Elephas maximus indicus: one gene and its partner. The protein of the gene in region 2 purifies or fractionates together with the protein of the main gene of each other region. This does not show direct contact. Links are inferred from orthologs where the notes say so. Each region holds a gene or a part of one and is shown on either strand. Other genes may lie near its edges.

The links.
Region 1: the proteins of MAP2K1 (region 2) and LAMTOR3 purify together in Homo sapiens (affinity purification with western blotting; 3 studies listed by BioGRID, with this or other methods). This does not show direct contact. The link is inferred for Elephas maximus indicus from reciprocal best matches to the Homo sapiens genes MAP2K1 and LAMTOR3.

Annotation. Positions count from the first base shown.
Region 1 is NC_064823.1:53,259,043-53,269,891, reverse strand, and holds the start of LAMTOR3 (ragulator complex protein LAMTOR3), read right to left. Parts: upstream 4,350-10,849; 5' UTR 4,195-4,349; intron 3,900-4,194; 5' UTR 3,863-3,899; coding exon 3,854-3,862; intron 1,094-3,853; coding exon 1,059-1,093; intron 1-1,058. UniProt on the Homo sapiens protein: As part of the Ragulator complex it is involved in amino acid sensing and activation of mTORC1, a signaling complex promoting cell growth in response to growth factors, energy levels, and amino acids.
Region 2 is NC_064831.1:56,487,341-56,497,955, reverse strand, and holds the start of MAP2K1 (dual specificity mitogen-activated protein kinase kinase 1), read right to left. Parts: upstream 4,144-10,615; 5' UTR 3,707-4,143; coding exon 3,627-3,706; intron 1-3,626. UniProt on the Homo sapiens protein: Dual specificity protein kinase which acts as an essential component of the MAP kinase signal transduction pathway.

The DNA of each region.
Region 1 (10,849 bases), on a different chromosome or scaffold from region 2:
TTATTGCATTAACAGAAAATCAGTGGTAATAATTACTTAACATTTCAACAGTTTTCTCTCTGAATACAGAAGAAAAACATGGACAAATCAAAACTAGAAAATATTACTTATTTCTAGTGCTTTGTAATTAGGGTAGTTAAGGACACAAGTCAACATAGGCAACTTAACACCAAAAAAGACAAGCAAAATCCAAACAGTTTTCTATCTACAGGAATTAACTGATATCTAAAATCTTTTAAAAGTCAAACAGATTTGGGAGATAAGAATTAAAAAAAAAAATCTCACCACATATTCTCCTATATTAAATCAAAGATTATTACGTCAATTTTGAATCATCTTATTCTAGAATGTTAGAATGGATGTCTCAACTCACATCCCTCTCTCTCATTTCCCGCAACTGTCAGGAATTCTACATTATTTGTAAATGGATGTGGGTGTAAGGGAAAGTTTAACTGTCAGGGAAGGTACCATCCTTACACAGGAAATTCAACAGAAGTGACAAAGTCCTTTGAAACAGTAAAATATCAAAAAGGAAGTTTTCTGACATTAACATAAAAGCGTAATTTATACAAAGGGGCAGCAAATGGATTATGCACAGGTTAAAAAAAAAAAAAGGTCTCCTGATTTTTCGAGCATGAACTGTTACCCTAGTCTAGCATTCTCGGGTTACCTACACTTAGCAATTAGGTCTTAAAAGCAGTATTAAATGTAAAGGCAGGTTATTAGCTTTTTTTCTTCCCTTGAAACTACTGTAACTACTTCAAAGTATAATTCAATAAACTGTTATCATAGTATATTTGAAAGAACTCTAAAGCGACAAGAAATGTGAGTTCTAGCCTTCCAGCATCCACCAGCTGTTTAACCTCAGAAAAGCCAGGTGACTATTTCAGGCCTCATACCTGCAAACTCAAAGGACATCATTGGACTCACTTAAGGTTACAGTCAGGTATTTGAAAGTATGAAATAATAACACTTTATACATACATAGTGATATTAGTCTAAAATAGAAACAAAATATTACCTACATAAAAATATTCAGTAACAAATTAATTTTTTACCTTGGTAATTTTTTATACAGGAATCTCTTTAGGTCCTAAAAGAGAAAAATATTAAAAAGCCATATTATAATAATGTATCTTCCAATGGTTTTCTGGATACTATCCTATCCACATTTCAGGAACTTGAAATCATATTCATAACAATTCCTGCTTGTACTTTATCCTTCTTTTTCTGATTTTGATACTTAATAACTGTGTGACTTGGAATAAGTTAAGTAACCTTTTCTCTAAGCCTAAATTTTATTACTTATAAAGTAAGAATACTCATAGAGCCTATTTAATAAGATTGCTGTTACAGTTTATTGAGAAGATGCATATAAAGTGATTAGCATACCTGGTAACAGAAAACAAAAATTACATTACACGTAAAATCAGATTATACTTTCCATACTATTGTATATCCTGTTGCTACTGCTGTGTTTGCTTGAGAATATATGACTATCTTGCTATATTTATAAATAAGATTTTCTAATATCACTTTTAATGATTCTCAGATGATTACAATGACAACACAAAGTGTGTTTAAGCATGAAACGTTAATTAAACCAAAATAACAAAACCAGTTGCCCTAGGGTTGACTGCGACTCATGGCAACCCCATTGTATTACAGCAGAACTGTGCTCCATAAGGTTTTCAATGGCTGATTTTTCAGAAGTAGATCGCTAGACCTTTCTTCCGAGGTGCCTCTGGGTGGAAATGAACCACCGACCCTTCAGTGAACAGTGAGTGCATTAACCATTTGCACCACCCAGAGACGCCTAAATCATAATCAGAACTAAAGAAATGGAAGACTACTTTATTTTGCCTCCTCGTATCTCTCATCTGGGGAAAATGACCATCTAGGCTTCAATTAAGACCTCTATGTAGATGAATCAGATACCATCTATTCTTCAGAACCTCTAATACCTACAATTGTCTAAACCTGAATGCATCGCTACCAGCTTACCTTGCTTTCATCTTAATACACACACACACAGAGAAATGAACTCATCCTGTTGCCCCTGAATCCAGATTTCCTCAATTTCTTCTTCTCTCCACTAATGGCACTACCAATCCCCTGGTTTTAGGTTTGAAACCAAGAGTTAACATTTAACTTTAATTCACGTTTGCCACTTTTAAATCACTTGTCAAATAAAATGTTTTTAAATTGATCTTTTCCTGTTTTTCCACAGACACTGTTATTTTTATTTCTTTTACTATTTATGACTTGCACTAATCTCCCAACTGGTATTCTCGTCTCCCATTTCTATCCTATTCCACACTGCGCCAATCATATTATTCTCCTTCTCTAAAGCCTTATTGCAGTGGTTCTCAACCTTGCTATAGAAATTACTTGGGAAGCTTTAATAATATTGATGCCTGGGCTGGAGGTATTCCCTGGGTAGCCAAGGTTTGAATGGCCCTCCAGCTTTCACTGGATTACGTACAAACTCTTTAGACATTTGAGGTTCTCTACAACATAGTCTAGGTCTAATTTTACAGTTCTGTATCCTCATACATATCCACAGCTCCAACTAAGCTGGTCGACTCAGTTTCTCCACACACACCTCTCCCTTCTTAACTCTTGGACTTTGTTTATGCTATTCACGCTACTAGAAATACTTTGCTCTCGATTTTACTTTTAAAAAAAAAAAAGATGCTACTCAGCTTTCAGAGCTAAATCTCAACCATCAAATATTCCAAATAGTCTTTTCTGATAGACAAAAACCAGATGTAATCCTTTCCTCAATTTTCACACTATTATGTATGCATATCTATGATCACTTACCTATTCCTCTATTAATCTTAAAAACCCTTAAAGAATTATCCCTTAATCATCTTTATTTTACCCATAGCCCTTATCATAGCAACTTTTCCAAGGCAGATGCTCAATATTTAGTGATTTGACTACAGGTGAAGAATTAAGGTCTCAAAAATATAACCGATGGTACTAAAAAAATAAGCGGTGGGTAAAGGCATAAAAAGTTCCTAAATCTTTGAACCATATAATCTTGCAACCTAAAAGGAAAAACTGGATTTGTATTCATGTTGAATGACCATTCAGTGTGGTGGATAAGAATATAGCCTTTGGAGCCAGACTGTCAGCGTTGTTCTCTTGACTTCACCACTTACTAGCTGTGTAACCCCGGGTGAGTTACTTTATTTTTTTGTGGCTTTGCATCACCATCTATAAGACGAATAATAATCGTACCTACTTCTAAATGTTGTTATAAGAATAAATTAGTATATACTCAATGTTTGGAAGAATATTCGGCAAGATAACAGGATGTAAAATATAAACATTAGTATCAGTAATTCTCTGCACTTTTCAGTAACTAGTACAATTAAGTCCCCTAAGCTTGGAATTTGGGTCTTACTGCTGTGCTAAAGAGGAATTTCAAGTTGTCACAATAATCCCAAGTGAGACATCATGACTGGTTACTGGAAAGTAAAGCATTCAGTGCACATGTCCTACTAACCACACAGTGATTGGGAAGACTGCAGACCATCATTTAGAAGCTCAAATGGTAAACACACAGGGCTTCTTTGATGTTCACAGGATTGGGGTGTGAGAATACAATCTTCTCACCCTCAAGCATATCTTAAGAGTCTCTCCTCAAACCCCATACTGGACAGAAACTCAGAACCCCACAAATCCATTCTTATCAGTCTCCCACTCCAGACCCTAGGGGAAAAAAATCGGGAGGAACGCCTAAAAGAAAGGTCTGTACATGGGGAGTTCTACCTCTCCCCGCCCAGTATCCTTTCCAAACTCCCACCCTCTCCTTTTTTCCTGTGTAAGAATGTCAACTCACATCCGCCATGATGAACCCCCTTCTCTCGCAGGATCAATCTCCACGCCTGGAAGAGAAACCTCTGGTGACTATTCCTTCGAAGCTTCCTCGCCTTCTCCACCCCCAGCCGACTCCGCGGCTCTAGGACCGTACCAAAGAGGCCGAAGGAGTAGGTGTTCCCCAAGACCTCGACGGGAATCCGGGATGTCTTACCTCAGCCCACTCCACCACCACCACCCCGAGATCTGGGCCCAAAGGCTAGGAAAAGTGGTGCCCTCTCCCCCTTCGTTTCCCCCACCAACAGCCCTCCCTCGCTATCCCCGGGCACAAGTCCCTATGCCGGGCAAAGTGGCGCCAGTTACCTGGGTTTCCGCTCCCGGGAATGCCCGGGTTCTCTCTGCGGGCACTTCAGGGACACTAGGAGACAGGTTCCTCCCCAAGCGGCCCTCACATGATTTGTGACCTCGTCGGCCCCCAGGAAGCACTTCCTACGCCTCCGACGCCCGGTGACACAGGATTTCCGGGGACTGTAGGCGGAAACTGAGCGCTTTTTGGCTCGCGGTGCTCCGCCCTGCCCCGCCCCGCCCGCGATGCCCCGCCCCGGCCCTTTCTGCCTCGCCCCGCCCGCGCTACCCCGCCCCTCCCGCTTGCCTTGGGCCGGACGGATTTGAACTCTTAGGCGATTCTTAAAGAGATTGCTGGGCCCGAAAGCCCCCAGAAAATGTATGCATGTTCTTGTGCAAGAAGACATTTTTGTGCGGAGAACGTGCATAAATTTTATTAGTTTTTTAGGGCCAGTACCTTAAAAGTTATTCTTGTAAATGAGTGGAAGGGAGGGCGTTAACGAGCTGTATGAGATTGATTGCCCAGGGATTAGAAATTCCAGATCTACAGGTTTCTGGTCCCGATTTCCTAGTCTCTTTTTGGCTTTCCCATGGATGTCACCCTACATGCTCTTTGCTCAAGGTTTTGTCTAGATTGAATCGAGGAGCCATGGGCTTTCTGGAGCGCTCGGGGAGTCAAGCAGCACCCCAAGCTTCTGCTTCTTTTAAGGTACGCACTGAACTACGTTTTCTCATTGGTTCTTGACATGTGGGATTGCCTTCTAAGCATTGCCTAAAATATTTTTTGCTTGGTGCCTTGCTTGTTTTCACGTTTAACAAAAACCTACAGTAGGTAGTAGGAAGATTACGAAGTATGGTAAGGGGGAAACCCTCTCCGATCACCTCAGCCCAGGGTTTCTCAATCTCTGCACTCCTGATACTTTGGGCTAGATACATCTTTGTTGAAGGGGGTTGTCATGTGCATTTTAGGCTGTTTAGCAACATCCCTTGCCTATGCTCACTAGATGCTAGCAGTCTTCCCTCCTCCCTTCCCCCCATCACCCCCCCCCACTTTTGTAACAACCAAAAATCCCCTGGGGGGCAAAATCACACCCCAGTTGAGAACCACTGCCTTAGCCCCTCCTAGGAAAACTGAAGTTCATGGCTTTAGTTGCAGATTACCTCTGGTTTCATTTATTCAAAGCTGGGTAGTATGTCTTGGAAAATTCCGAGATTTATGGAAACTTGTTTAAGACTGATCTTCATTTCCCGCCCCTAAAAGCAGGAATGCAAAAGGGATTAAGTCTAGCCTAAGACATGGTGAAAAGTCTTGGATACATATTTCCTACAACTATACCTGACAAGAGGCAATTGTAAACCATAGAGTTCCCAAATGTCACAAATGATCTACTGTAATATAATTTTCTTAAAATGCTGTCTTGACAGGGAACATAACAGAATCCCTAATGGAGCAGGAGAACAGTGGGATGCAGTACTCAAATTGTCATAAAAAAGACCAGACGTAATGGTCTGAGACTGGAGGGACCCTGAAAGTCATGGTCCCTGGACCCTCTATTAGCCCAAGACTGGAACCATCCCTGAAGCCAACTCTTCAGACAGGGCCTGAACTGGACTGTAAGACAGTATCATTTTCTGGTGAGGAGTGAGCTTCTTGGCTCAAATAGACACAGGAGACTATGTGGGCAGCTCCTCTCTGGAGGCGAGATGAGAAGGTAGAGGGGAACAGGAACTAGGTGAAAGGACACAGGAAATACAGGGTGGAGAGGAGGAGTGTGCTGTCTCATTAAGGGGAGAGCAGCTAGGAGTACATAGCAAGGTGGGTTTTTGTATGAAAGACTGACTTGATTTGTAAACTTTCACTTAAAGCACAATTAAAAAAAAAAAAAAATGCTGTCTTGACTGCTTTGAGGCCCTGGCTGGAGGCTAGTCCGTTCACCTTCTTCAGCAGCTGATTAATTCCACTCTCCAACCACTCCCCTCATCAGGTTCTCACATTCCTGGGCCACTATGCACCCACCCTAATTGTCCCAGGGCCAGGTACCTAACAACTCAGGACAGCCCTCTATACCCCCTGAGCTTGCAGAGTTATTCAAGAATGCCTATTCCCCAGGAAACCAGAAAAACCTAGCTAACCCTGCCCTGCTTGCCACACATAAGCCTTTTCCTATAATTTGTTGTTACCTTCGCTGAGTCGGAATCGACTCGACGGCAGTGGGTTTGGTTTGGGTTTTTTCTCTGGGTGCAACCCCTGTGTGGCCCTGCATCATGGTGTGTTGTGCCTCCCTGCCTCTGGGAACTGTGAGCACAATAAACCTAGTTACTTTTCAGGGTTTCCCTGGCTCTTCTTTCCCTCCTCACACCAGACTTACCATCCAAAAAATCTGTTTGAGCACCTACAAATTTTTACAAGTGAACTTGACAGTTCCATAGCAGTTGACACCATTAAAGATTACTTCCTTTTCCTTATTTAAAATCTTTGATTTCTTAGTTTCTGGGACACCGCTTTATTTGTTTCAGGTCCCCACCCACTCAAGTCTCTAACTGTTCAGATGATGGCATTTCCCAAGCTTATCTTGGGTTCCTCTGCAATGTTCTCTTTCCCGTGTTCTGAGAATGTGAGTCTTTCCTCTGAGTTCTAGATTCACATTCTTAGCTGCTTGCTGGATGTTGGATATTTCTACCTACATACCTTACTGTCAGCTCTAACTCAAAAGCTCTAAAAAACTTGGGTCTAATAAACCTGTTTCTCCTATGTCTGTACCAGTACCATGATTCTACTAGTCAGGAATCATGTTTGGCTGCTCTCTTTCTTTCCTCATGATATGTCTTTTCTTCCCTAACAATGATTTTTGCATCTGTATTTTTTCAATTCTTGATTCAGACCGTATTTCTACTCAGCAAGACTATATCAATAGCCATTTAATAACTGGCAGATGAACCTTCTTAAAACACTCATTACTGCCTGCTAAGAAGATCTTTAGTGATGTACCATCACAGACAAAGTTGACAGTCTTTAATCTGGCACTAATACTCTATTTTACTTCTGAGTACTTTTTTTTTTAATTGAACTTTAGATGAGGGTTTACAGAACAAACTAGTTTCTCATCAAACAGTACACACATTGTTCTATGACATTGGTTAACAACCCCATGACATGTCGACACTCTCCTTTCTCAACCCTGGGTTCCCTGTTACCAGCTTTCCTGTTCCCTCCTACCTTCCAGTCCCTACCCCAGGGCTGGTGCACACCTTTAGTCTTGTTTTGTTCCATGGGCCTGTTCAATCTTTGGGTGAAGGGTGAACCTCAGGAATGACTTCATTACTGAGCTGTAAGGGTGTCTGGGGGCCATACTCTCAGGGTTTCTCTAGTCTCTGTCAGGCCAGCAAATCTGGCCTTTCTTTTTGAGTTAGAATTTTGGTCAACATTTTTCTCCAGCTCTGTCTGTGACCCTCTATTGTGATCCCTGTGAGAGCAGTGACTTCCAAATACATTCTAGTGTGAATCTTCTACTCTAGCCAAATTGATTACTTCATCCTTTTGGTTAGCAGCCATCGTGCCACCAGGGCTCCTTCACAGCATACCAGTACCTGTATATATAGTTAGTAAAGACACTGCATATATTGTTAAAAAACCAGAATAAAAAAAGTTGAGATCTCTGTTGTATATAACAGGTAAGAGAACTTTAAGAGAATCAGAAACAAAGGCTCTGATATCACCAATAAAGTTAGAATGAAATGCATGATACTGTATTTCATCGATTCTGAGATGGATTTCCCCCTAACATTTTAACATCTCTGAAACTGAGATGTATCTTAAATTGATTGCTTATTAGATCCGATGAAATACAGTGATATTTTCCCTTCGATTTGACTGAAAATATGACAGAGTTTATTAACTTTCCATAGCCTATATTATATGGGATTACAGTAGAAGTGGTGCTGAACACAGGGTGGGAGATTGGGGTCAAAGACAGTGGGAGAGTATACAAGATCTAAGGAAAAGATCAGAGTGGTTGGTTTCTAGGCATAATGAAGCCAGGTTCTAGTTTCCTCTTCCAAATTTTATCCCATAAATTTTCTAGATATGCAATCATCGCTCAGGACAGAAAAAGTTAATGTTTTATTTGAGTAACAAGAGGCTCGTTAAATTATGTAAAACAGTAATACTTCTACCTAAAACTGAAACCAAACCCATTGCTATCAAGTTGATTCCGACTCATAGCAACCCTATAGGACACAGTAGAAATGCCCCATAAGGTTTCCAAGGAGCAACTGGTGGATACGAATTGCCGACCTTTTGGTTAGTAGCCGTAGCCCTTAACCACTGCGCCACCAGGGCTCCAAATTTTAAAAATCCTTAGTATTTTTGCAATAGCAACTTTAAAAGTAATTAATAAAATACTGAGATTTAACTCATAAGTCAACTATATCATAATAAATTCTACATTTGTTGGGTCCTTCTTCATTTTCAGTATGAAATATTGTTTGGAATAAAGAAGCCAGTTTAAGATTGTGTTTTAACACATCCATTTGAAATGGGGGCATATCTGTAATACTACCATAATTGTACAAAGAGAAAATATTGCCACTGAAGTATGAAGACTAAGAAACAAATTGTAATTCTAAACTGACAGATACCTAATTTGCAATACAAAATATGTTCTTTGAAATGTGTTTCAAAAGATGCTGTTATGTTATCTTTGTACATGGGATCAAACTAAGTAATTTATTAGTACATTAAAGAGCAATGTAACTACGAACTAGAAGCCCAGTTCCACTTTTTTCTTTAAAAGCAACCAACCTTTAAAACTACACATAGCTGTCAAAATAAAATAAAATAAAACAAAAGTAATTTTTTGGTTTTGGACACTCCATTGCCATCCATTTCCTCGGAGACCTGGTGGTGCAGTGGTTAAGCGTTCAGCTGCTATCCAGAAGACTGGCAGTTCAAATCCACCAGCTGCTCCTTAGAAACACTATGGGGCAGTTCTAATCTGTCCTATAGGGTCGCTATGAGTCGGAATCAACTTGACAGCAGTCCATTTCCTCTGTAATGTAATAATAATGGTGGCCTACAGCAAAAGGAATGCCTGGTAGTGTAGCAGGTAAGTCCTTTGTTGGGCTGCTAACTAAAAGGTAGGCAGTTTAAACTCACCAGCCACTCTGAAGAAAGAAGATGTGACAGTCTGCTTCCATAAAGATTACATTCTTGGACCCTATGGAGCAGTTCTACTCTGTCCGTAGAGTCGCTACGAGTCAGAACCAACTGGTACAAGACGACAAATGCATGAAGCTAAGTAGGCTTTCTGGTGTTGTTGTTAGGTGCTGTCAAGTCAGTTCCAACTCATGGCCACCCTATGTACAACAGAACAAAACACCTCCCTGTCCTGCACCATCCTCACATTGTTATGCTTGAGCTTATTTTTGCAGCCACTGTGTCAATCCATCTCATTGAGGGTCTTCCTCTTTTTCACTGGCCCTCTACTTAGCGTGATGTCATTCTCCAGGGCCTGATCCCTCTGATAACATGTCCAAAATATGTGAGATGAAGTCTCATCATCCTTACTTCCAAGGAGCATTATGGTTGCACTTCCTCCAAGAAAAGATTTGTTCATTCTTTTGGCAGTCCATGATATATTCAATATTCTTCGCCAACACCACAGTTCAAAGGTAACAGTTCTTTTTCAGTGTTCCTTATTCATTGTCCAGCTTTTGCATGCATATGAGGTGACTGAAAATACCATTACTTGGTCAGGAGCACCTTAGTTCTCGAGGTGACATCTTTTCTTTTTTAACACTTTAAAGAGGTCTTTTGCAGCAGATTTGCCCAATTTAATATGTCATTTGATTTCTTGACTGCTGCTTCCATGGGTGTTGATTGTGGATCCAGGTAAAATGAAATCCCTGACAACTTCAAAATTTTCTCCTTTTATCATATTTTCTTATTGGTATAGTTGTGAGGATTTTCATTTTCTTTAGGTTGAGGTGTAATCCATACCGAAGATTGTAGTCTTTGATCATCATCAGTAAGTGCTTCAACTCATCTTCACTTTCAGCAAGCAAGCTTGCATATCACAAATTGTTAATTAGTCTTCCTCTGATCCTGATACCTCATTTTTCATATAGTCCAGATTCTCAGATAATTTGCTCAGCATAGAGATTGAATAAGTATGGTGAAAGGACACAACCCTGACACACAGCTTTTCTGATTTTACATCACACGGTATCCCCTTGTTCTGTTGGAAAGACTGCCTCTTGATCTATGTACAGGTTCCTCATGAGCAAAATTAAGTGTTCTGGAGTTTTTATTCTTCGAAATGTTATCTGTAATTTGTTATGATGCACACAGTGAATGCTTCTGCATAGTTAGTAAAACACTGGTAAACATCTTTCTGGTATTCTCTGCTTTCAGCCAAGATCCACCTAACATCAGCAATGATAGTCCTCGTTTCATGTCCTTTTCTCAATCTGGCTTGAATTTCTGGCAGTTCACTGTCAATGTACTGCTGCAACCATTTTTTAATTATCTTCAGCAAAATCTTACTTGTGTGTGATATGATATTTTTTCAATAATTTCAGCATTTTGTTCTATCACCTCTCTTTGGAATGGGCACAAATATGGATTGCTTCCAGCTGTTTGGCCACATGGCTGTCTTCCAAATTTCTTAGCCTA
Region 2 (10,615 bases):
GGTTTACTGCACAATACCATTTAGTACACTACACACAGAAACATAAAACAATGCTATGTATTTCCCGAGGGTACACATGTGCCCAAACAAATGGGCCGAATTATAAGATGATTATAGCTCATTATAATTAAATTCTCTAGAGTGGGTGAGTAGGTGCCTGTGAAAGGAAAAGAAATGGGAAGCATTGTGGAGAATAAAGGGAAAAATACAAATGAAAATGAGAAGGTAACAAGGGTTTATTAAAGACATTGTGAAAATATTAGAAATTTCATTTGCTTATGATTCCTTCGACAATCATCTGTGCCCTCATTATGTGCCAGGTACTGTTCTAGGCATTACTTACAGAGAGGGGAGTCAAAAAAAGGCAGCCCTATGCTGCCAAACCTGTTGCCACTGAGTCGATTCTGACTCATAGTGACCCTAGAGAACAGAGTAGAACTGCCCCATAGGGTTTCCAAGGAGAGCCTGGTAGATTTGAACTGCCGACCTTTTGGTCAGCAGCAGAGTTCTTTAACCACTGTGCTACCAGGGCTCCTATGGTATATAGTAGAGATAGATATTTTAAATGCCCTAGTAAATAATTACAGACAGTGATAAGTGTCATCAAAAAAATCAGGTGGCATGAAAAAAAGGGACCTATTTTAGATCAAGTGGTCTGTGAACATCTGTGAAGAAATGACGTTTAAGCAGGGGGATGAAGGTTGTTACCCCCTAGCTAAGGGAAGAGAGAGGGATGATTCATTCCAGGCAAAGGGAACAGTACGGTACGTGTAAGGGCCTGGAGGGAGTATATATCATCCCAGGGAGGAAGTGAAAGAGGGCCAGTGTGGCGGAAGAAGTGACAGGAAATGTGGTCAAAGAGGTGGGGTGGAGGCAGGGGATGCAGCGGGCAAATCACTCAGAGTCTCACAGCCCAATGTACCAACTGCCAGAGTCGACCCCACTGCCCTCGATTCATGGTGACCCCACGTGTGTCAGACGAGAACTGTGCTCCACAGGATTTTCAATGGCTGATTTTTCAGAAGTAGGTCACCAGGCCTTTCTTCCGAAGCACCTCTGCGAAGACTTGAACCACCAATCTTTCAGTTAGCAGCCAAGTGGGTTAACCATTTACACCACCGTTGTATTTTACTCTAACTGCAATGGAATCACAAAAACATTTTAAACAGAGGGATGATGTGATATTTCCAATTTATTTCATTCTAACACTTAAGACCCTAACAATATGCTCACGTTTTTGCAAAGCTTGCAGAAGATATTTTTACATTCTTTTTCTTAAAGGACCCCCAGAACTAGCATACACTTCAGGTCATGTATAACCCAGCTCCATTCCTGAGTGGGATGTTAAGTTAGAAGTAATTCCCAAGGGGCCAGGAACCCACGTGGCACAGGCAACCTTGCCAGTTTGGTACTAAGAATTCTTTACTTTAAACGGATTTTTTTCTTCTTCTTTAGTTCACATTGTATGATAATGAGCAAAACTGTGCCCTGGTAATCAGAGAAATCATGAGAACAAAAGAGTTCTTTCTGCTGGCAGACCAAGAGAGGGGAAGCCTTGCTTAAGAAAAACTCTAAACTCTCAAGAGTGAAAGGTGAAGATGTGGGTATAGCTTTTCCTTCATTAGTGCTAGGAAATGTACGGGAACAGTCCCTGTTCGTCTCAGGCAGCCTACACGAAGATGCCTCCTATTGTAACACAGCAATGAGTCATGGAGGTAGATGCAGAGGGCACAGAAAATTAAGCTGGGGAGAGAGTCCTTTGTCCAGGATCAAAGGCACCTGAACACACACAGGCACCACCAGAAATGGAAACACCTTTCAGTTTCATTTAGCCTTCTCGGCATGTACCCAGTAACAAAGGCACCAAAACCAAAAAAAAAAAAGAAAACCAAACCCACTGCCCTCAAGTCGATTCCGACTCATAGGCACCAGCAGCTCACATTTATGAAGACTTACCAAGTATCAATTGCTTTGTATGCATTCCCTCATTTAATCTTCACAACTACCCTAAGTAGGTTCTATTATTACTCCCAAACCTAAGCCTTAGAGAGGCTAAGAGACTTGTCCCAGGTCACAAAACCACAAGTGACAGGGTCGGGCTTCAAACCTAGGCTAACTCAAAGGTCAACCTCTCAACCACTGCTGAGAGCCTCCCAGTTCCACCCACTTTTTTTCTGCCACCAAATCCTGGGTGGCTTCTTTTTATCCTCCCTTTACTGTTCTCCTTTAATGAAATTCATCTCCCCTGAAAGAATACAGCTGTGGTGTCAGAAGGACAACAGGTACTTCTACTCAGTTCCCGTCTCCCAATCAAATAGCAGGATGGTCATGCCACACTATGCAGACAGAATCCAGTCTGGTCAAACCTGTCCTGAAGATGGTAAGGGCTAACGAGGGCCCCAGGCCCTTGAGGGGCTTTCAGTCAGCTTAAGAGGACAAACACTGTACACTAAAACGGAATTCAAGTTTGCAAATACAACTCACGACCTGTACAAGTCAATATGTATAAAGCAGAAAACAGTGTTGAGGGGAGCCTAAAGAAAAAGCAGGTCTGAGGAACCTGGCTGAGTGCACACCACAGGTCTGTCACTGGCCTTGTGATTATTACAGGGATGAGCAGAATCACCAAGTCCACAGGTCTCCAGGCTATTAAAATCTAGGTGGAGAGGAAGGAAAGCTGCAGAAATCATCAAAGGCAGAAGGTCCAGGTCTACTCTATTCATTGTATCAGCTAGCTTCCTTAAGTCTAGAGTGTTCATGTAAAAGATTCAGAATCTTATCTTTTCTGGATATTTCTCCAGCCAGCAGGTCTTTCTCCCTCACAGGTCTTGTCCCTTACCCAGGACTCCAAAGAGTTGTGGGAGCTCAGGAACCCCCCTGAAACAGGCAACAGCCTCACCTTTATTTAATGAATAAAAGTGCTGGTCTGTGAGCAACACCAGAACCTGCAAATATGAAACATCTTGTGTGTGATCTCCATAGTCAGGATGTTCGCATCCCGAATCAGGAGTTTAGGGCTTATGGTGAAGTAAGGAAAGCCAAGGAAGGCACTGATGAAGAGACAATTTGTTGAATAAATGAATGAAGCGGAAAGGCGCTCCCTTGGAGGCAAGACAGTTCCCAGGACAGGAAGGAGGCCAAAACCCCGGACCCTCTAAAGTCGGCAAAGGAAAAGCCGCGAGGCGGTTCAGGCAGCTGCCCCCAAAGAGCCACTCCCGACCCACAGGTGTCAGGCACGAAGGTGATGCTCGCAGGTCCCACCTCCCGGAGCCCTTCTCAAAGGCACAGATGCGATCGTAACTCTTTCCAAACGTTCTCCCGTCACAGGCCAGACCCCCCGTGGATCACATTTAGGAAACTGCCGCAGGGAGGGGGAATGAACCAGCTTTGATTTTCTTGGGGAAAGGGGAGGGGCCAGTAGCCAGGGACGACAGGAAGGGTCAGGAAGGGAGGAGAAACCGAGGCTGCCCGGGTGACTGGTCTGGGTCAGGAACACAATCAGTGCTTAGTCACCGATACCTCGGCGGCCGGGAGTTGCTCGCCCCCCGCCACCCCGAGACGTACGTGACCAAGTCGACCGGCGCCCTGCGCCCCGGCTCCTGCGCCCGCCGCCACCCCATACTTACTCCGCCGAGGTGGTCCCGTTCACCGCCGAGCCGTCGGGGGCCGGGTTCAGCTGGATGGGCGTCGGCTTCTTCTTGGGCATTCTGGACTAGGGAAGGCGCTTCCAAGTCGGGCGGAGAGCGGCTCCTCTCGCTTCCTCCCTGTGCGCTGCCCTGCGCCCGCACCCCAGGGGCCAAATCTGGGCCGCGGGCCAGAGGCTGTTTTCAGAAGGAGCGCCCGCTCGGGCCCTCCGGCGCCCGGGGCCCAAGCCTGCCTCGGGGACCCCGCCTGCCCGCCTGAGGCTAGGCTCAGCGTGCCGGGAGCCCAAGGGCTTCCCCGCCGGCGCGCAGTGGCTGCGCGCGAGCGTCTCGGCAGCGCGGGATTCCCTCCTTCTATCCCTCCGTCAGCCGGCCCTCGGGCTGAAGCGGCCCCTCGGAGCGCACACGAGAGCCCCGCACGAGCTGCAGCCAGAGACCGTGCAGCCGCCGCCGTAGCCGCGCTCCGAGCCGCGCCGCGCAGCCGTCTCAGGGAGTGTCTGGACGGCGGGGGAGGAGCCGGGAAGGAGGCCTCGCCCCGCCTCCCCCGGGCTGCGGCGCTTCGCCACACCTCCCTCGGCTCCGCCCCATGCCTGGCCAACAGCCAATGGGAGCAAGCAGTGGCGGCAGATACGCGGAAATACGTCACGGGGGCGGAGCGAGCAGCCCCGGGGGCGGGATATGGCGCGGGCTCCATAGCACCCTCTGCTGCCCCGAGGCACCCCGGTCCACCGGGAAAGGAGGTCGTGCGCCCAGGTTCCTGCAGCGAGCGGCGAGGTGAGCTCTTTCTCATCAGGTGCCAGGTCAGACCTGGTACCGGGCGGCCTAGTCCTCTGCGGAATAACAGGATAAAAATAAATAAGGAGAGGGACCCCTTCTTGTGTGCAGGGGAGAGAAATGTGAGGGATGGAGAACTTGTTCAGGGACTCCTTGCACCAGTGCACAGTAGTGATAGTAATAATGTCCTTTTTTTTTTTTTACTGATGAGGATGCAGAGAGATGGGTACTCAGTGCTGATGTTATGGTAAATTGGTACAACCTTTTTTGAGAGCAGATTGGCAATATTTTTTAGAAGTCTTAAAAACCCTTTTTCTGAAACATATTGGAGAAATAAGATGTGAATAAAGAGCTTAATAAAAGAGGCACAATATTTACTCAAAAATGCGCTTTTCGCTCTTCCTTTCCCCCCTTCCCCTTTCGAAAGTATTCAGTCCTAAAGACAGTAGGTGGCCAGAAGGGTCGCTATGTGTCGGACTCGACGGCAACGTGTTTTTTTTTGGTTTGGTGTGAACTCACAGTTTTCAGTATATATGAATAGAGGTAGATGTGTGCATGCCTGTGTGTGGTAGATGTGATTCTGTCTTTATTTTAAATTTTGATATTTTATTCACCATGAATTTTTTTGCATTAATTTTGTGGGGTTTTTTTTTTTTTTTTTTAGTATTGCATTAAAATATCTTGGTTACTGAGTTTTTTGGCACCCTCTTAAATTTTGCACCCGTGGCAACCATTTCAAAAGGAGCCGTAGTGGCGCAGTGGTTAAGCGCTCAGTTGCTAACCAAAAGGTCAATGGTTCCAATCCACTGGCTGCTCCATGTGGCAATCGGCTTTTGTAAAGATTTGCAGCCTAGGAAACCCTGTAGGGCTGCTATGAGTCGGAATGGACTTCCCAGCAGTGGGTTGGAGCGAGCATTTCACTTGCCTCACCCTTGTCCTGGTTCTGGTGTGTACACATGTATTCCCAAACATGTCCCCTGAGGGACCTGAGAGTAGGGACACCCCAATAGCAACTCTTAGCTTCTAAATACCATTCCCCATGAAAAGGATCGAGGACTCCTTGGAAAAATGGCTGATTCCAGAAGTGCCCAGGGAAAGGACAGATGAACCTGGAACATCTTTTTGTGCAAGAAAGCAAGGAAGTACAAAAAAAATCACAGATACTTCAAAAGGACACAGAAGCCAGCTTGAAGAGACTCCTACTAGCCAAATTGTATGACTTGAACATTAAAATAAATAACAATGGCAAAAGGTTATAACTCATTGAATAAAATAGGAAGCCTTGAACCCATACTGAATAAACTATTAATTAAAGTTTGATGAAGAACTGGATGTTTACAAGGATTCAGCGTACCTCCTCACAAAATGCAAATTCACTACAAAGGGGAAAAGAATAACTTTACAGTGGGGAAGTCTGGCACATACTACTTTAATCTTAAGCAATTAAAATGAGCATCATCAGTAGTAATGTGTCCCTTCGTGGGATGCAATGAAAAGAACACAGCATTGCTTTTGTGATATTCCTGCTGAAGATGCATGGCTGAATCTAATCATAAGAAAACATAAGAGAAACCCAAATTGAAGGACATTTTAGAGGATTTACTAGCCTTTCATCTTCAAAAATGTCAAGGTCATGAAAGGAAAGATGGAAGAGTTGTTTTAAACGGGAGACATGACAAGTAAATGAATTAGATACTTTTGCTACAAAGGACATTATTGGGAAGATCGGTAAAACAAGAACGGATCTGAGGACTAAGACTGTAGTAATGTTTCAGTGTTAATACTCTGATTTTGGTAGTTGTAGTTTTGTAGGTGAACATTCTTGTTGTAGGAAATAAGCACTGAAGTCTTTGAGGGTGATGGATCATCAGGTCAGCAACTACTCCCAAATGGTTCTGGGAGAAAAAAGTTCTTTGGATATTTTTTTTAGATCAGTTTGTAATTCTTTCAACTTAAAAAAAAAACAATTATACGTTTATTTTTTAAATGATATTTTATTGTGTTTTTGGTGAACGTTTACACAGTAAATTAGGATCCCATTTAATAATTAGTACACAGGTTGTTCAGTGACATTGGTTACATTTTTCACAATGTGTTAACATTCTCATTCATTCCATTCTAGATGTTTCATTTTCATTTATCTGGTTTCCCTGCCCCCTTACCCTTTTATCTTTGCTTTAGAGTAATTGTTGAGCATTTGGTCTCATATAAATGGTTTTAAAAGTACATTTATTTTAAAAAGACTAGAAAGCTATATACACCAAACTGTAAACCAGTGGTTATCTAGATGATGATGAAATTACGTAATAGTTTAAAATCGTCTTTTTCTGTTTCCACTTTTTTCATGTTAAATGTGAACAACTTGTAGTATCAAAGTAAAATAATAAATATTAAAAAATTAATTGAAATTAACTTTTCAAACAATGTGTGTTAAGGAACAATTCAGGCTGTCTGAATGCTGGTACAGTTTTATATTTGCTAATGCAAATAAATGCTAGTGGAATTTTGAGCAATAATTGAACTTCTCAAGACCTCACTTTCACCATGTAAAAAATGTGAAGTTCCTTCCAATACTGAAATATTATGACTTTATGAATGCTGTGAAAACCCTGGTGGCGCAGCAATTAAGTGCTATGGCTGTTAACCAAAAAGTTGGCAGTTCGAATCCACCAGGCGCTCCTTGGAAACTCTGTGGGGCAGTTCTACTCTGTCCCATAGGGTTGCTATGAGTCAGAATCAACTCGACGGTACTGGGTTTGGTTTTTCTTGGTTTGAATGCTGCTGAAAGGGTCTGCCTCCATTGAGCAGTGTCCCTAAACCCTCATCATGCCCTGAGAAAGAGTCCACATCAAGGACTACCCCAGTGACTGAAGTTTGTAGAATAGCCCAAGGTAGAAGAGTTTTCTTCATTTGCACTTCAGATGAGTAGGGATTCATCGGTTCTTTTAACTTTTCCTGAATGCCTAACATAGGTGCCCACAATGTGATAAACATTTTAACAAACATGTTAGGTTAAAGGATGTGAAGTTACCATTTTTGTAGCTCAAAAATGGTCAAATATTAGCACTTTCATGTGGTTTGTCACATTTGGACATAGTGTAGTGGCATCACAAATGTGAGAAACCAAGAAATAAGAGGGCAGCCAATGATGAAAATGCGTCATGAACTGAGGACTACATTTAACTCACCCCTCTGCACCTAAGGTCCAAAATCAAACAAAACAGACAAAAAAACAGCACACACTTAAGAGAGAAAGACCGTGTTTCAATTCCAGTTCTGCCTTAGCCAGATTACTTAACCTCTCTGGGTTTACTCACCTATAAAATTTGAGTAATACTACCTACTGCACCAGAGAAGGAGCCCTGGTGGCACAGTGGTTAAAGTGCTCGGCAGCTAACCAAAAGGTTGGTGATTTGAACCCACCAACCTTTCGATTAGCAGCCAAGCACTGAACCACTGTACCATGAGGGCACCTTCTCTAAGGATTACCTGCAAAGCCAAACCGTTGCCATGAAGTCAATTCCAACTCAAGTGGCCCTATAGGTCAGAATAGAGCTGCCCCATCCAGGGAGCACCAGGTGGATTCAAACTCCCAACCTTCTGGTTAGCAGCTGTAGCTCTTAACCACTATGCCACCAGGGTTTCTCTGTAAGGATTACAGCCTTGGAAACCCTCTGAGGCAGTTCTCCTCTGTCCTACAGGATCACTATGAATTGGAATAGACTTGATGGCAATCAGTACTACACCAGATTGTTGTGAGCATTAAATGAAATCATGAAAAAACAGTACCGAACACGGTAAAGGGAAACCCTGGTAGTGCTGGGTCAACTGAATATCTGTATGAAAAAAAATCAGTCTTAGTCCCTACCCCACACCATAACTAAAAAAATCAACTCTAGATGGATTGTAGAACTAAATAAAACTTTAAGGGGAAAATATCTTCAAATTCTTTGTTTCAAATTTCATGGGTTTTTTTCATTATAAAACTTATGCCAGCTTATTATGTGGAAGGAAATCCTGGTGACATAGTGGTTAAGAGTTCAGCTGCTAACCAAGAGGTCGGCAGTTTGAATCCACCAGACGCTCCTTATAAACCATATGGAGCAGTTCTACTCTGTCCTGTTGGGTTGCTATGAGTTGGAATTGACTCAACCTCAACGGGTTCAGTTGGTTTTTGGATTATGTGGAAAAAAACCCAGAAAAGTATAAAGAAGATAATAAAAACCATTCATGATATACTTCTCAAAGATAACCTTTATTTACATTGCAGAATTCTATGTTCATCTTCAGCCATACTCACATGCTTATTATAGACTCAGTGAACATTATGACATTTTCAATTTATGACCTTTATTTAGAGGAAAGCTGGTATTTACCCTCTTAAAACTTAAGATCTTTTACTTTCTTAATGTGAAAAATTTAGTTGGGAAATTCAAAATAAAATATGTCTGGTTATTGCAAACAAGTTTTTCCACATGAAGACATTCTATCTTACTTTTTTTTTCTCATTTTAATACCACATTTTCTTATGCTCCAGTCATGAGAGAATCTGACTCTTTACCAAATGCTTTTACTATCATTATTCCCTTTGCAGATAATTCATTCTTTTGAGTAGAGTGAATTTTTAAAATTTTTTAAATAAATGTCTAAGGAATCTTACCCATTGTCTAGATTTTTCAGCTTCTGTGAGTTTGGCAGCTGTTACTACTGCGTAAAGGGTCACGGTGTGGAGGGTAACACTACCCTCCCATTCCCCCCTCATACCAGGTACATCCGCTTCCTCAATTCTTGATGTCAGACATTCTGATTGCAATCAAACCACTGGGTTATTCTGGGAGTCTCTTAATTGTCACTTGCTCTTCATTTAAAAAAAAAAAAAAAAAGATGCCTCAACAAGGTAGGGATGATGTGATTTTCATTTGGTCTCTAAGGATGTGGCTTAAACCAGACAGGATGTAGGCTCTTGCATCTTTTTTTGGAGGGCTGCGGGGGTAGGGACTTGGTCCTGGTTTGGCATTCCAGAGAGGTGTAGTACTTGGCTTTTTATTCTCGTGTAGCCCAGTGAAAGAAGATATACGCGGACATACCAGCTTCCTAGAGGGCAGCTGTGGAGAAGGAAGTCTTGACTTGCTTTGGAATCACAGCCCAGGATCCCGGATATTCTTATTCTAGAGGCTGGTCTGAGATTAAGCAAATCTCTTTCCCTGGCCAGAACATTCACTCCAAAGTTTGTCATCACTGTTTTTTTTTTTTTCCTACTTGGCGGAAAACCCCTGCATCATTCTTTTCCTGCCAAATGCTTTGCAAAGATTACAAGCAGGAAATTTTAAATGAGAGTGACCATTTGAGTGGTAGTGATCTGGGAGCTGTGATAAGAGCATGTGAGGCCTGTACAGGAAGAGACATTTTAAAGCCTGACTGTCAATCTTTTTATAATTCACACTCTTGCTCAGAGCCAGGTCAGCTCATAGAGAGCCAAGAATTTGTCTGAAGTGTTTTATCTCTGGCAGTGAACTACACACGACACACCTCCTGGGTTTTTGTCTGTTTTAAGATACTGTAAACTATAATTATCGATGAGCAATGTATTCTATAGTTTTATACAATCTCAGGGATCAAGAAACCTCTTCTGCACAATGTACCGGATTGCTGTAATTGTACAGTCTCATAAAATGTATGGTTATTGTTATTATAATGATGGTATTGCTGCATCACTGTCATTACTGCTGAACCGTATGGCCATTTATCCTTGCTCCTTTGTGTGCCTTCTCTGAATAGACAGACAATTGTGACTGGATCCTAGACTGGCCTATGAGGTAGGACTTTTGCATTTGCGTAATGGGAGACTGAGTTCATTTTAGAATGTTAGAGCTGGACCAAAGAGGTCATTGGGTCCAATCATCCCATTTTTTAAATGGGAAAGCAGAGCCTGAGACAGTTCAGTAGTGTCCTCCACGGTGACACAGGTAACTAGGGGTAGAACAGGGACAGGAGCCACATCTCCTGACTCCTAGGCCAATGATCTTTTCACAATTCTCTGGTGCCTTGCTGTATTCATGGAGCCCTGGTAGCGCAGTGGTTAAGAGCTCAACTGCTAACCAGAAGGTCAGCAGTTTGAATCTACCAGCCATTCCTTGGAAACCCTATGGGGCAGTTCTGCTTTGTCCTGTGGGGTTGCTATGAGTCGGAATTGACTCGAT